3 linked regions of the Arabidopsis thaliana genome follow. The protein of the gene in region 1 interacts with the protein of each later gene in a pairwise test. Each region holds a gene or a part of one and is shown in the gene's direction. Other genes may lie near its edges.

What was found.
Region 2: the proteins of AT3G24740 (region 1) and RSZ22a interact in a two-hybrid assay, tested with the Arabidopsis thaliana proteins (one large-scale study listed by BioGRID).
Region 3: the proteins of AT3G24740 (region 1) and PFD6 interact in a two-hybrid assay, tested with the Arabidopsis thaliana proteins (one large-scale study listed by BioGRID).

Annotation. Positions count from the first base shown.
Region 1 is NC_003074.8:9,028,987-9,035,027, forward strand, and holds AT3G24740 (cellulose synthase, putative (DUF1644)), read left to right. Parts: upstream 1-2,091; 5' UTR 2,092-2,284; intron 2,285-2,288; exon of another isoform or gene 2,289-2,860; 5' UTR 2,861-3,078; exon of another isoform or gene 3,079-3,390; 5' UTR 3,391-3,410; coding exon 3,411-4,475; 3' UTR 4,476-4,489; exon of another isoform or gene 4,490-4,567; 3' UTR 4,568-4,858; downstream 4,859-6,041. Other genes in the region: AT3G24715 (kinase superfamily with octicosapeptide/Phox/Bem1p domain-containing protein), read left to right, coding at 1-84, 170-317, 408-530, 603-690, 772-962; AT3G24730 (mRNA splicing factor, thioredoxin-like U5 snRNP), read right to left, coding at 1,166-1,264, 1,360-1,426, 1,511-1,668, 1,753-1,908.
Region 2 is NC_003071.7:10,447,321-10,452,339, forward strand, and holds RSZ22a (RNA recognition motif and CCHC-type zinc finger domains containing protein), read left to right. Parts: upstream 1-2,310; 5' UTR 2,311-2,383; intron 2,384-2,505; 5' UTR 2,506-2,516; coding exon 2,517-2,605; intron 2,606-2,694; coding exon 2,695-2,783; intron 2,784-2,878; coding exon 2,879-3,128; intron 3,129-3,220; coding exon 3,221-3,346; intron 3,347-3,503; coding exon 3,504-3,540; 3' UTR 3,541-3,864; downstream 3,865-5,019. UniProt on the Arabidopsis thaliana protein: Probably involved in intron recognition and spliceosome assembly.
Region 3 is NC_003070.9:10,504,717-10,510,016, forward strand, and holds PFD6 (prefoldin 6), read left to right. Parts: upstream 1-2,816; 5' UTR 2,817-2,949; coding exon 2,950-3,025; intron 3,026-3,119; coding exon 3,120-3,190; intron 3,191-3,309; coding exon 3,310-3,434; intron 3,435-3,671; coding exon 3,672-3,732; intron 3,733-4,048; coding exon 4,049-4,105; 3' UTR 4,106-4,435; downstream 4,436-5,300. Other genes in the region: AT1G29980 (choice-of-anchor C domain protein, putative (Protein of unknown function, DUF642)), read right to left, coding at 1,164-1,278; MNS3 (alpha-mannosidase 3), read right to left, coding at 4,816-5,065, 5,157-5,300. UniProt on the Arabidopsis thaliana protein: Binds specifically to cytosolic chaperonin (c-CPN) and transfers target proteins to it. Binds to nascent polypeptide chain and promotes folding in an environment in which there are many competing pathways for nonnative proteins.

The DNA of each region.
Region 1 (6,041 bases):
TGATGGAACTGGAGGAACCTTGGCAACTGTTACAGAGTTCATGGTGAATGGGTCACTCAGGCATGCTCTTCTCAAAAAGGACAGGTTACTTAACCTATCACTGCATTTTTGTATTTCCCTTAGCGTTCAGGATCTGAAAGAGATTTAACACACCAGAATGCCAACGCAGATTGCTTGACACTCGGAAAAAGATAATAATTGCAATGGATGCTGCTTTTGGCATGGAGTATTTGCACTCGAAGAACATCGTCCACTTTGATCTCAAATGCGAAAACTTACTTGTCAATTTAAGGGATCCACAACGGCCTATATGCAAGGTAACATATATATTGATGAAGATCGTTTTCCCCTATAGACTGAGAATCCTGAGAAACTGCTACTTAAGTATGAAACTCTGATTTCTACAGGTGGGAGATCTTGGCTTATCTAGAATCAAACGTAACACTTTAGTATCTGGGGGAGTGAGAGGAACTCTTCCATGGATGGCCCCAGAACTCTTGAACGGAAGCAGCACCCGAGTTTCTGAGAAAGTAAACTAATCCAACCACTATCCTATTAGTTTCACTAACAACACAACTCACATTTGTTTTCGATCTGAACAGGTTGATGTTTTTTCATATGGAATCTCGCTGTGGGAGATTCTAACCGGAGAGGAACCCTATGCAGATATGCATTGTGGAGCAATCATTGGTAAGTCAAAAACCATCACTCACAATTTCACTTACCTCAAAACAAAAGCCACTCTATGCTCATTTATTTCCTCTTTTTAAGGCGGGATCGTGAAGAACACACTTCGACCTCCTATACCAAAAAGCTGTTCTCCGGAATGGAAAAAGCTGATGGAACAATGCTGGTCTGTCGACCCGGATTCTCGTCCTCCATTCACCGAAATAACATGCCGACTTCGGTCCATGTCAATGGAAGTCGTCACTAAAAGCAAAAGAAGAGAAAATAAACCCTGACTTCAAAACTTCAGAAATCAAGAAAACGACGGGTCAGTTCATCGACATTTTCACATCTATCGAAAAATCTGCATATTTATTCTCATTCTTCAACTTTGTACAAAAACATAACTGTAAATCTCAAAATGTCAAATGTAAATATTATTGCCAACACAGAAGATGAGAAACAGATTTTGCATTGTAAGCACAACAAACTTTAGTGTCTACACATCCTTGTACACGAGCTGGTACTTTGGTATCCTCTCTGGCGGTATTGGACATTGAACAATCATCTTCCCTTTCATTGCTCCTCGATATATAGCCTATACATAACACAATAACAAAAACAGAGTATTTAAATTAGTAACAACTCTTTAAAAGCTTTTAGGAATTAATGAAATTGAATTGTTCTTGTTACCTCAACAACATCAATAAAGTCTTGTTTTATATGAAATGCACCAACCCATTTAGTATGATCCGCAGTTCTACAATATAACCAAACCGGAATTAACATAAACCAACCTAAACCGGCTTTAATCAGCTACTAGAACAAGAGATTAATTAATTACCCAGAATCCAATTTCATATGATGCGCATTGAAGAAGAAGATCGTCGAAGGAAACAACGTGATATCAAAATACTTCACATACACTTGAACATCCTCTGAATCAACATCAACCAAAGCTACCTTAGCAAATTTCGAAACATCTCTCACCGATTTCGCAAGCTGAAAAGAAAAATTCGAAAACTTTAGGGGTTTTGATTAATCGAAATTAGAGAAATCGAATTCAAAGAGAGACGAATTGAATACGATTTCATCATGCTGAAGACAAACGGCGTCGGAGGAACGACCAAATCGTAAAACAAGAACTTCATCAATGGTGTCTCTGATAACCCGATCAATCTCTTCCTTCGTCGTTAACGTCTTCAGAAGATAACTCATCTCGGCGTAAGAATTATACGACATCGTTTAGATAATATAACTAAAGAGACATAAAATAAAATATACGACGTCGTTTGATAATAATATAATACAGTAACTAAAACAGACGGAAAATATACGACGTCGTTTTTTGGTAATAATATAATAACTAAAAGAGACACAGATTAAGCGACGTCGTTTGTGGTAATAATATAATAACTAAAGAGACGCAAGTGCAAATGTTTTTGTGATAAAAACCATAAAAATAAAAATAAGTGGAGAAATCAAAATCATCGATTCTCCTTTGTTTCGCCTAACCCAATTCCTAAATCTCAGCATCTTTCATCAATCCAATCTCTCAAATAAGCGAGAGAGAAACAAAGATTATCGAATCCTTGGAGACGAAAACATACTCCAATTTGTAATTTTCTCGTCTTTTTTTTTACCTGATTTTGTTATACGTTTGATCGAAATCATTTGCTCTGATGGATCTCTGTTTTGTTAACCCTTTTGAGATTTGGTAGATATGGTTTTGAGGATTGATATATTTGCCGCTGATTGTCGTTGAAAAATTGTGAAATTTGATTTGGTGGTTTAGGGTTAAAATGAAATTATATGATGAGGAATATAAGAATCTGATTTTTTTTTATTAGATTCTCCAGATGTTCTTGTTACTTGTGATTGAAACTTTGATTTTGGGTTGTTGTTGTTTTTGAACTTTGGGGATTTTAAAGTTGAATTTTTTTCTAATTTATGCCAAAACGGTCTTCTTCTATGGTTTTGTATTGAACTGATGATTTAGATTTGTTTAAATCTCGGCTTTTGTATATTGTAGTGGAAGATTGAATTTTTTATTTCTTGTCATTGGTTATAGGTTTTAGTTTATTATGATGATGCCACTAGTTGCATGATTACTAACTTGACAGTGGTTTATATGAACATATGTGATAATTTTCTTAAGTTTGATTCCTACTTCTCTTTTGGGATTGTTGTGCAGGTTTTAGGACATTTGGGTTACCCTGAGGCTTAAGGAGAATAGTGGTTTAGTTATTTATACTGAATTTTGTGTCATTCAGACTTTCCGAGGATTTTCTGTTTGGTACCGTTTGCCTCGTCTGTGTTTTCATTTGAGCTGCATCTTAAAGTGAAAGTTCAGTGCTTAAACAGTAATAAAGTAGTATTTCAACAGGCTGCTAATAAGATTGCTCCCTTTCGGTAAGTTTGTTTTCAGCCAACTATCTCTCTTTGTGAAGTTAACAATCCGTTGCTTCTTGTGATGGTTAAGATTCCTCTGGTATGCTTAGTTTCTGTGCTAGTTTCTAGACTATGATGAGTCAGTATAAGATATCTATTTCTTCTGTTTTTGGTGTATCTTCATTTGTTCTTGCTTTGGTTCTGCTGCTACATGATTGTTTTGAAGTTTTGATATTAAGCGATGGTTTTGGTCTTGCAATGTTCCCTTTTTGGCAAAAAAGTAGTATTTATAAACCTCATTCAGTGTTTCTAACTTTCTCGATGCGTGAGTAGCTTACACAGTGCTTAACAAGATGGCTGGTGTAAAGCGAAAATTAAGTACCGAGTCAGATGTTCATGCTCTTCACAAAGAACTGGATGAGGTTTCATGTCCTGTTTGCATGGATCACCCACATAATGCTGTTCTACTGCTGTGCAGCTCTCATGACAAAGGTTGCAGGTCCTACATCTGTGATACCAGTTACCGACATTCCAATTGCCTTGACCGGTTTAAGAAATTGCATTCTGAATCCGCAAATGACCCTACTCCCGAGGCGAACTTGGCTTCAAGGGAACATAATAACGAATCTCTATACGAGCATGGTACAGCCAGTCGAAGCAGTTTTCACCGTGAGTCTGGAAACCGAGGCTCTTCTTGGGATTCCGAATCACTGAGGAGGAGGAGGAGAGTTGAGGAAGAAGTTGAGTCAGAAGATATCACAAATTTGAAATGTCCTCTATGCCGGGGTACTGTTTTAGGATGGAAGGTTGTAGAAGAAGTAAGAACGTATCTTGATCATAAGAACCGAAGTTGCTCCCGAGAATCCTGCTCATTTACTGGCAACTACCAGGATCTGCGCCGCCATGCCAGGAGGACTCACCCAACAACTCGTCCTTCAGACACTGATCCATCAAGAGAGAGAGCTTGGAGGCGGCTTGAGAACCAGAGGGAGTATGGAGATATAGTCAGTGCAATCCGTTCTGCCATGCCCGGTGCTGTTGTAGTAGGAGATTATGTTATAGAAAACGGAGATAGGTTTGCAGGTGAGAGGGAAACGGGAAATGGTGGGAGCGACCTTTGGACCACTTTACTATTGTTTCAGATGATTGGCTCTCTTGACAATGGAGGTTCTAGCGCTAGTGGGAGTGGTGGTGGATCAAGATCCCACAGGTCAAGGGCATGGAGGAATCATCGGCGTTCATCTTCAGATAGGCCGTACCTTTGGGGGGAGAATCTATTGGGTCTACAAGATGAGCGCAATAACAACGATGATGAAGAGTTTCGTTTGCAGAATGATGCAGGCGGTGCTTCTACTCCTGTTCCAAGAAGAAGAAGGAGATTTGGACGTCCTAGATCAAGCGGAAATCATCCGCGATAAGCTGAAGCGTCCCGGTAAAAATTCGATATAAATCATTGGGTTTTTGGTTGTAGAAAAACCTTTGCGATTACTGAAACTGGTTTTGTCTTTAGGTGATATCGATATCTCTCGGGTCAGAACCAGGCCGATGCAAAGGGAAAGGTTTTACTAAAAACCCGAGAGGCTTAGGATTGTTTGGTTTTATGTAAATGTCATTTTGAGCCTTGGCTCATTGTATACTACTAAGTATGGCTTCTTATGCAATGTCTTTTGTTACTTAACTCGTGGATTATTTTCTTTTGCGTTGTGATGAAGTTTGTTATTTAGGAAATCGACCACGTATAAATATTTTATCTAAAAATGGACAATGTAATTATTTTGTTGAAGCTCTTTTTGGTCCAACGTTTGACAAAGATTTAGTGCTTGTTTTTACTGTTTTCCAATGTTTTCAAGTGCTCGCTCTAAGGAGTGTATGATAACACGTGTCAAATAAAACAGCCACGATATTACTCAGATGTCATAATTGTAACTTGGGACCATCAAAACCATAGCCTATAATTGTACTTGAACCATGTAGAGGATTGAGATGAGGCCACGTTTGATAAATGACATGCGGGCATGAAGAATAACACGTTCGATCTCGCAGAGCTCGACGATGGCATTGGAATAAATGACAAGGTAGATTATCTTCTATTCATAAACTATAGTCTATAGTAGTATGGATCCAGAAAAGTAGAAAAATGAACTGTGGTTTATAAATGGTGTATAAAAAGCAGTCCAATCCTTAAACGGATTTGTCCACTCCAACCGCCGCAATTATTCAAACTCTTAGAGTGTTAAAGCATAATTCGGAAACAATTAACAAAAAAATCATATCACATCGAGTCTATCTTAAAATATATTCGATCTTAAATAGGGGTTAATTTCAAAAGGTGTTTGCTTTAGATACAAGTTGTATATATTGGTCTATTTAGTTATCATTAACTTTTCATGATCGTTAATTCTGTAATTATTATTTTTTGTTTTGTGGATTCTTTAGTAATTAGTACTAATATCCATGTGACTCTTCCATGTTCTCCTATACCCTTCACAATATATATATATATTCCAATAACTCTTGATTAAGTAGACCACATCCGGTCATTTTGTGAGTAAACCATTTTTGTTTTGATTACACATTCGTAAGACGAAATGTCATTTGTTCCTCAATTCTTTCTCATGACCAAAACGTCAATTACAAGAGAAGTAATAAGAAAATTTTCTCCCTAGTCTCTTTATTATTCATATCTTATTGTTATAAAATAAAACACATATATATTACACATATCTTATTGTTATGTTAACTTTTCTTATTTCGGTTTTGATTCTTTTTGATATGTTAACTTTTTCGTTATGTTAACATTGATTGCCAGATCGTGGAGACAAGGAAATGAGGTCTTGTATATACAAATTAACAGGTTTCCCTAAGAACCTTGTTAAGAAGACACAAGAAAAAAAGATAGAGAAAACAAGTTTTGGTGTGGTGAATAAACAATATGGAGTACCTTCTTCCGATGATACTCGTAGTTTCCGTACTGTTAGGCGTTG
Region 2 (5,019 bases), on another chromosome or scaffold:
GAAGTTCTTGACCAATTGTATTCTTGGGGAATATGGTGGAATGAATATAGAGTCACTTCGCTCTTTTCTTAGTGCTCACCATTCGTTTTTGTTCGAAAAGACAAAATCCCTTATCCACTGGTTATTAGTTTATTAACAAAAATCTTACATTTTATATGAATGGGACACTCTTAAAAGAATATTTAGCAATTTGTAGGAACAACTTGTACATTCTAAAATCGATATTTAGCTTATAATTTTAGAATCACTCTTCTTTTTCTTTTTGAACAATAGAATCACTCTTTTTTGTCCATATTTTAGGATTTAATTAGAATAACATCGAAACTAATTTCTATGATTTATGTAATGTCATTTGCAAGATGTCTTCACCAAACATAGAAGCAGTGTTGATTACCAAAAAAAAAACATAGAAGCAGTGTTTCATGTCTTAAAACCTATAAAAAAGAGAAAAATTATAAAATAGAGCACGTAATAATTTATAAATTTTATTAATTATTTCTCAAAATAAGTCGTAATTGAGTGCCGTTTTAAAAATCTTGAGGTGAGCTTCTCTCCATCTGAATAGAAAGAAGAGAAAAGGAATAATTCTTGTCGTCATAGTTCAAACTTCAAGTGGACTCTCGACGACATTTCAATAATACACACATACTTATCTAATCCTGTCACTGAATGGAGTCTTGGTTCAAGAAAGGTGCGCACTAAATAGTAAATAAAAAACTACAAAATTATATCATTGCTCTTGGGAATGATTGGATGTTATAGGCTAATCCCAAATTAATATCTGGACATAATATATTGTCACGTCCGGTTTTTGTTAAGTGACTGATTTAAAAGTGAAACTCATAAGTGATAAAGCACAAAATTACGATTTAGCCTCTATTGTCTTTTCCAAACAAACCATTCTAAACTAGAACCATGGTTCAAGTGGTAAAAGTTTTTATTTGAATATTGTGATTTTGGGAGATATAGGCATGGGCAAAAAAACCCAATAATTTTAATAACTGACCAAACTGAACCGTATCAAAACCAAAGTTCTTAAAATAATCGAATGGTTAGTTGTTAATGAGAGAAAGTTACACTCGAAAATTAGAAAAATTATCAAGTAATATACTTATAAATGATTAGTTTCATTGCCAATTGGTTTTAAGTTAGAAACTCATCTTAAACCCAAATATGTTATTAGTAAAATAAGGGTGATTCAAACCATTTCTTCTCTAGAAAAAGCATTAGAAGAGCTAAAGATGCACTCAGTTAATAATGCTAGGATGATGCTAGGATTATTAGCATTAGAAGAGCTAAAAGGTTGTATCTTAGCCTCTTTAATAATGCTAGGATGATGTGATGGAAATATGTTGGTAGCAGAAGGTGAACTTCGAGGCATGAGTGGTTACCATGCCGTTGTCATGGTCATAATTATGTTCATTTGTACACACCTACTAGCATTACGCAAATAAATAATAGTGTCAAAATTGGTTTTTATGGTTATATCTTTGTTTGCCTATCGACTATATATCTAGTGATCGATTCCGATGAATAAAGTAGAGGATTGGTTAGGCCTACAAATAGGCTGATGCATCTATTGTCTAATTTGTGATGCTTAATGAGTGAATTATTATTATAAATAAAAATTTGAACGAAATAGTTTTCTTCACTTAGTTCAAAAACTAGAGGTAATAGTCTCTCTCTTTTTTTTTTTTTTTTTTTTTGGGTCAAATAGTCTCCCTCTTAAGTTTTATTTTCCTCTCTCATCCTCATCATCTGAGATGTATGGGTTAGTATATACATAAAAGTATGAGCATAAAAAGAGCTTTCTTCATTTACATAAAATATTCAGTGGACATAGAAAAGAGCTTTCTTTATATTTTTTAATTAAAATTTGAATTTACGACGAGATTTCAATTTGGGGTTTAGAAACAGTGTTTTTCTCAGGATCTCTACTTGTGAAGTTTTCGCTTGTGTTTTCTTAGTGTTTTCTCCTTGTGTTGTGTTGTAGTTTTTGGGGATTTATGTAGATTTCAATTTCTTTTTTTTTTGTATTTTCGGTAAGTTTTATCAACTTTTTTTGAAAATCGTATAAATACTTAAGAGTGATACTCATTTTTTTTTTGAATTCCTTTTATATGCTGAGAGCTTTTTTTTAATTTTGAATTATTATTATTTAACATCTGACATTTTAATTTTATAATCAGTAATTGCATGAATATGAGGCATTATTGTTACTGTACCATATCGCATGCGGCCCATTTTAAGCCCAAATCAAGGAATAACTTTTGAAGGACATTTAAAGTTGACCCACAAAAAATAACTTTCATCTTCAATTTCGAATCGATAACCCTAATTTCTCACAGACGAGCAAGAGAAAGAGCCAAAGCCGTTTCTTCAGGTAAATCCCGATCTCCGTTGTCACTTCTTTACTCCAGATTCATTCGTAGTTTCGATCTATAGATTTCATCTTTTTGAATTCATCGCTTTCAAAGTTTTTGAATTGAAGCCTTTTGTTGATAGGTAACTTGAGGATGTCGCGTGTGTATGTTGGTAATTTGGATCCGCGAGTTACTGAACGTGAACTCGAGGATGAGTTTCGTTCCTTTGGTGTGATCAGGAGGTACATAAATTGACTCCTTTTTGGTTTTTAGTTGATGTAAAGTGTGTGAATTTGCATTTATCCTCATTGTTCTTTTGGTGTCTGTGCAGTGTCTGGGTTGCTAGAAGACCTCCTGGTTACGCTTTTCTTGATTTTGAAGATTCAAGAGATGCCCGTGACGCCATCCGTGAAGTAGATGGTATTCGTTGGTCTTCTATTCTACTGGTCTGGTTTTATGAGTTGTTATGAGTTGTTATGAGTTTGATATATATATGATCTATATTGTTATGGTAGGCAAGAATGGATGGAGGGTAGAGCAGTCTCATAACCGTGGTGGTGGTGGAGGTCGTGGTGGTGGTCGTGGAGGAGGTGATGGTGGTCGTGGACGTGGTGGTTCTGATTTGAAGTGCTATGAGTGTGGTGAGTCTGGTCACTTTGCACGTGAATGTCGTTCTCGTGGTGGTTCTGGTGGTAGGCGTCGTAGCCGCAGCCGTAGTCGCAGTCCTCCTAGATACAGAAAGAGTCCTACCTATGGAGGACGAAGGTTATTGTCCCTATTCTTTCTGATTGACGATTTGCAACTAAAAGAAATTGGTCTACCTCATTGATTTATTACCTTGTCTTTTGGTTTCACAGAAGTTACAGCCCTCGTGCTAGATCTCCTCCTCCTCCAAGACGTCGTAGTCCTTCTCCTCGTGGTCGCAACTACAGTAGGTCACCACCACCTTATAGAGCACGTGACGAGGTGCCATATGCTAATGGGTAAAACTCCCCTTGCTCTTGAGTCTACTGTATCTCAATCAATATAAGAAATTGAAACTGAACTAGTGGCATTATCGTCCCAAAGACTTTTTTGTTAGACGTTGTGTTAAAAAACAGAGTCCATGTGGCTGATAAGTTTTTGTATTTGTTTATGCAGAAATGGTCTGAAAGATGTGCGCAGAAGCCGGAGCTGAGTGTTACTTGTCTAGATAGCAAATTATGGGATCAGGAGACAACTATTTGCTTGTGACGTCAAGAGGAGAGGAAATTAGTATCTGTGAATTTCACTAAGAGAATATGTTTTAGCTGTGTGGTGGATTGGATATGCTTGCTACTTTTGAATTGCTGGAAAGCTTCTTATTGCGTTTGGATTATGAAGCCATAGTTGTATCTGCCGTTAGGTAAAGTACTTTTAAATATCTACCCATGTTCTTAAAAGACATAAACAAAAGCTCTGCTAAAAACCTATGCATTTTCTTTGTTTTTTGTTCTATCATCTCGAGGTTTCTTCAGGTTTCTACTGCTTCATTGCTTATCTGCTTTTGGCTTCTTGGTTAATTTGGTCGGCCTGCTATGGGATCTTCATAGTAGTTTACCACAACTTCTGCTTCATTGCTTATCTGCTTCTCGCTTCTTCGTTATTTTGATCTGCCTACTTTGGGATCTTCATAATTGTTTACCACTACTTCTGCTTCATTGCTTAACTGCTTCTGGCTTCTTGGTTATTTTGATCGGCCTGCTTTGGGATCTTTATGTTAGTTCACATCTACTCTGCTTCTCATCTAGATGCTCTTATGTTTGAAAACTTCATCGGCTCTGATGATTGCTGGTCTTGCTTTTCTTGAACTTAAAATGGCCGAGGAGTTGCACTTGCTACTCTGGCAGGTATTTAATACCTTTCAGGCAGGCTTCGAAGAAACTTGTCTTACGGTGTAGAATAGTTTAGAGTATGTAGAACGTCTCTGCTTTGTTTGAGGTGGGCACTTGGATAAACACTTATCGCCATCTGCAATAGTCATTCCTTTGGTTTCATCACGTTTGGTACATGGACTAATCTTTAAACGAGAGATTTTTCTGCTCATTGGTTTCAATTTCATCATGTTTGATTCAAGGATCATTCTGTCTTTATTGAAGGCTTTTTGGCTGCCTCCTCTTCTGATGATGCTTTGGTTTAAAACCCTAGTAAAAGGAGTAGATTTTCATAAGTTTCTTATCTTTGTCCTGTTTTGTTGTGTCCTGAAAATACTTATTTTTTATGAAAAATAATTTACAGATATCCAACTTCATGAGTTTGTTCACTTTTTATATTTAGCAAAACTTTGTTGTCATATGTTTTACTTATCATCATAATCAACTAAACATGATGACGACGATATCTCCTAACAACTAGAATCGAGCAATTTTGTGTTCGTACTTATTCAAGTGACTAGATTTGAAGTTGTTATTTTTGATGAAACATGTACTGAGTATTGATATAAAACATGTAAAACATCATTGACAACATTTTTCATTCTTTTTGGACTTTAAATGATAGAGATAACATAGGTGAGACCAGTTTACACGAAACTCCTTAAGTAGGGATGCATCATACAATGGCAATATAAATCTGCTTCAAGTAAATCTTGTGCCGGTCCCTGTGAGGAGAAGAAGCTCATCAAGAAAATCACTTTAGA
Region 3 (5,300 bases), on another chromosome or scaffold:
GATTGTTTTGAAACTAGCTAGCGGTGTGAAAAGAGATTGTTTTTGTCTTTCTCAAATAAATAGTTTGATTCGACATAACACTTTAATTTACTAGATTGTAAAAACGTGAACGAAAAAAAATAATAAGGAGACACGAGGCTTGAAACGTCTAATATGGGGCCAGACATACGGCCCATACCTTCTAGCTATGACTTAGTAGGACCACAATTGTGAAGACTCGTTTTGACTATTTACTAATTTTTATGTTTACACTCTACAGTTCCCAATTTACAAGTTAAAAATGCCCCTTCTAATAGGGGAAAGCAAGAGACAATTGTTGTGTTTTCGGTGGAAAAACAAAAGAAAGCGTGTTGAAAAACTAGAGAAGTATTCAGACACTTGGATGTCGTTTTATCAAGTATTCTTTGTCGTTTTGTAATACTACGACCAAAAGACCACCTACTATTTGGCGCGAATCCTACTCAAGTGGTTTTTTTTTTTGGTAAATTTTTTAATCAAATAATTTCTTAGAAAGTAAAGTACCTAAACAACTTTCTTTATGAAATCAGATCTTTAAATTAATATCCACATAAAAAAAAAAAAAAAGAGTTCTCAGGGTTTTGTTGGTGTGTGTTTGTTATTTGTTAATTGAAGCTAAGGAAGATTTAAGAAGGGCTTCCTTTTTAATTTTGCCGCCGCTGAAAGCACGAATAAGATACTTTATACTTAATTGACAAATAGACCCATACAACTTTCATTTTCTTTTCTATTGTGACGGATTAAATTCAGTTGACAGTTTTTCCCCTGACTATGAGATAACCTTAACTAGATTAGCATTACTGGTTCGATTAACACTGTTTACTTACTTAAACTAGACATTAACATAACAGATTTCTAATCTTTAGTAAAGAAGAAAACTCAACTTAAAAATCTTAGCAACAGTGAAGTGAAATTGAGGAAAACCCCCAAAAATCTAAACACTCAAAATCCAGATAAAAACTAAATCAATCATCTGAAACTAAATTATTTTGGTCCTCTGTTCTTGAAACAGAGATGGGTTGGATTCAAGAAACCAAATCTTGATAACACAAGATTCTTATTTAAATGGCATTTTTGAGAAAAACCAATCACGCAGAGACCAGAAAAGAACAAAGAAATTTGATGAAGGTAAGTGAAAAGCGTACCATCCTCAACCGCCGGAGACTTGTCGTCAGCGACGGCGACTAAGACGGCAACGGAGACACTGAGCAGAAACAAGAAAATGGAACTCCATTTGCATCTATTGTTGCTCGGAACCATATCTCTCCTCTACTTCTTCTTCGTCTTCCTCAAGATATCTAAATGCTCTCTTTATCTCTCTTCTCTCTCTCTGTAAGTGTGAAATGTGAAAGTGTCTTTCTGTATGTTCTTTTCGGGCAGCGAGCAAAGACAGGGAAGGTTAGTGTCCTTTTATCCAAGATTCCTCACTCCTTGTCTTTTTTTTTCTTCTTTTTTTTTAACTCTCAACATTTAATTTCCACTATATTTAAAGCTCTTTACAGACAAAACTCCATGCACGCATAACAAAAAAAAAGTAAAAGAAATGTTTCTACTGTAACATAGTATTTAATTGTTCTAATTAGTAGAGCCACGATGGAATAAGTTTTAGTATTGACCTAGGTTCTCTCTTTTTTTTTCCCTCTCATTGGATCTGTGCTAGATGCGAGACTAAAGTGGCAACTTTACTTTTGATCCAACTCTATTTCTTTTAGGCTGTGGAGTGAATTATTAGTTTGACAACAACAAAAATGTCTTTGTAAAATCTTCGGCTTTTCACTATTATAGATTTGAAAAAATGTTGTTTAATACGTGAACTTTCAAAATTGGCCATTTAATACGTGAACTTTATATATGGCAAATTAATACATACAAAAATCGTTGACTGACAATTTTACATAAACTTAATCGTTGATCAAGCCAAAATCTACACGACGTTATCTGACATTAACAGACCGATAACAGTCGTTAACTAATCTTCGTTAGTTTCTAATACGACGTTGTTTCGAGTATCGCGAAAACGGAAAATGCCATTTAATACTCCAATTTTCAAATTGTGGTCATTTTATATATCAACTTCACATGTGGCCATTTTATATATGAACTAAACGTTGACCAATAGTTTAAAATATGAGAATGCGTTGATTAGACCAAAAAGACATACCGCTATCTAGACCTAGATATTCAGATTTTTGTTTGGATTCGGTTTGGATTTATTCAAATACCTAGGCCTAGATAGCGGTATGTCTCTTTGGCCTGGTTAACACATTCTCATTTTTTAAACTGTTGGTCAACGTTTAGTTCATGTATAAAATGGCCATATGTGAAGTTGATGTATAAAATGACCATAATTTGAAAGTTGGAGTATTAAATGGCATTTTTCCCGTTTTTGCGATAATCGAAATGACGTCGTATTGGAAACTAACAGAGATTAGTTAACGGCTGTTATCGGTCTGTTAATGTCAGATAACGTCGTGTAGATTTTGGCCTGATCAACGATTAAGTTTGTGTAAAATGGCCAGTCAACGATTTTTGTATGTATTAATTTACCATATATAAAGTTCACGTATTAAATGACCATTTTTTTAAAGTTCACGTATTAAACGACATTTTTCCCGTTATAGATTGAGGTATAAAGGGACGAAAAGTAAAAATTTGTGTTTATGAGAGTTATGTTCAGTGTTGATATGATCAGTGAACTAGAAGATATTACGTCACCAAGTGATAAATAGTGTTTTTCTTTTGTATGTAACTAAAACTAGGCTTGATAATAGAAGAAAAGCATATTGGGCCGTTAAAAAGTCCAAGTTAATACGGTTTTGGGCCTTACTAAAACACGGGGGCTTTAACGGAGTTTTGTTACTGCTCCTTGGTGGATCTGCGAGTTTTCAATAAACCACCGGAGTGAGGAAGAAGCAGACGACGACGACGAAGATGAGTTCATCGACTGTTCGTGATTTGCAGAGAGACCTAGAAAACAAGGCTAATGATCTCGGCAAAATCCAGAAAGGCAAGTTTCGTAGATTCTCGTAACTTTTCTCGATTTGATTCTTTTCTTGTTTCTGGAGGCGGGAAACCCTACTTTTCTGTGTTCATATTTTCAGATATCGGGAAGAATCATCAGCTGAGAAAGAAGTATACGATCCAACTCGGTGAGAATGAGCTCGTGCTTAAGGTATATGTTCATGTCTCACTGTTTAATCTGAGTTTTGTGGCTACTTCAACTGAAAAGAGAAGTTTATTTCGATTGTTGATTGGCTTTAATCTTTTTATGTGTCTGTCTTGTATCTACAGGAGTTAGATTTGCTGGAAGAAGATGCTAACGTCTACAAATTGATTGGTCCGGTGTTAGTGAAGCAGGATTTGGCTGAAGCTAATGCAAATGTTCGTAAACGAATTGAGTACATCTCTGCTGAATTGTGAGTTTCTTTTCTTTTAATGTGATTGAAGCAAATGCAGTTCGTTGAGAAACCTATTTTGGGATTGTTATTGTAAATAAAGAACCTTTCTTTCTTTCTAGGCTAATAGTGAGTGATTGCTGTTCATAAGTAGCTAAAATGTTTTCACTTCTAGCTATGTAACAACTATGAGAGATGTTGATAAAGTGTTTGAGCTATAGTGTTGTGACCTCAAGAATATTGTTGTATCCTTTGCAGGAAACGGCTTGATGCAATTCTTCAAGATATGGAAGAAAAACAAAACAACAAGAGAGAAACGGTAAGACATCTGCCTCTCATGCATTTATATACTTCTTTGAGTGCATTGAATTAGTGATACTAGGACTGCTACACCAATAATAGTCCAAACATTGATGCTCAGTATACTAAGCTCTAAAAAGATACTTTGGTAGCTATTGTTGTCAGTTTAAGCCTGCCCGGAAAGTAAATACTTGAACTTTGTTATCTCCTCTGTCTCGTTGAGTGGCCTACTGGCCTTGGCGCAATATGAGGATTTGCTGTTTCTGCACTTTCTTGGCTTTTAAATGGTGATAATGATCCTATGGTTTCAATTTATGGAATCAAAATATTTGCAGATAATGAAGTTACAACAAAGGCTACAAACTATCCAGGCAGGAAAAGCAAAGGCTTGATTGAGCTACTCAGTTGCAACCACACTTGTTAAACCCTTTCCACTGTGCTCGGCCTTGTCTCAATGGTGTCATATTCAGTTACTGAGGGTTCTTGTGGTTTCAGTTTATTGGGTGATTGATGTCTCTTTGTGTCACTAATCTTTTTTTGTTGACAACTAGACTTAAGTGTGTAACTTATACATGATCTTGTCGCCCTTTATGAAGTTATGAGTTTGGAGATTTACAAAAAAATATTGTGTGTGTGCGCCTAATTTGGTCTTCATACATACTTCAAGTCGATTATGTTCTATGCAACACCTTGCAGATTACAAAGAGCTAAGATGACCAAATGATCTCAAATTTAAAGGTTTATTAGTCATATCAGAATGATCTTATCTTGCAGTGTAAATGGTATGTATAAAAAACTAAAACCATAATTCATCTCCATGTCAATTGTGTCTGATTACATTTTGCCAAGTGAGAGCTTAACGAAAAGAGAGAATATTAGTCTCAAGAAACCTACTACTACAAGCAAAAACTTTTACGAGTTAAGTTATAATTTGGATGCAGAAGCTTATCTTACATTGAAAGTTATGACTTTTTTTCCTCAACGAACTAACTTCTTCTCCAATTGGCAGTGTACTATACATCACTTTCTCCATACCCTCTCTTAAGTTTGTGTATGTGTGTGTGTGTGTGTATTGTCTGGAGTAGTCTTCAAAACTAAGCCTTCAGGTGTTTCTTCTTATTGGTAATGGATGAGCTTCAGTGTTGAAAACAAACTTATCCAATGGTATCACTGAGTCATCTCCAAAGAGCAAGTATAAGTACTTCAATGTTTCACCAAGGAAAAATGTCTCCATCTTATCTCTTCTATGAGGAGGCACTTCTGTTACATCATCCAATGATGTGTATCCACCTGATTTCACCTTTGTGTACTTTTCAAAAGCTTCAAAAATTTGCCAACCTTGATCTCGGTATCTGCAATTTTAGAAATGTGTTAGCTTTAAGAGTAGAATAGTCCCCAAGAACTTAGATTAGTGAGGGAAAATCGGATGAATAGTTTTCATACTTTGTATCTTTTGTGATACGATAGAGGACAAAGAGTGATTCAACAGTTTCAGGGCGCAGTAGATTATGTCGATCAGCGGGCTTAATGATTATGTCATTTGCATACATAGAACTCTTATTCCCACCATCAAGACCATCCTCAGTG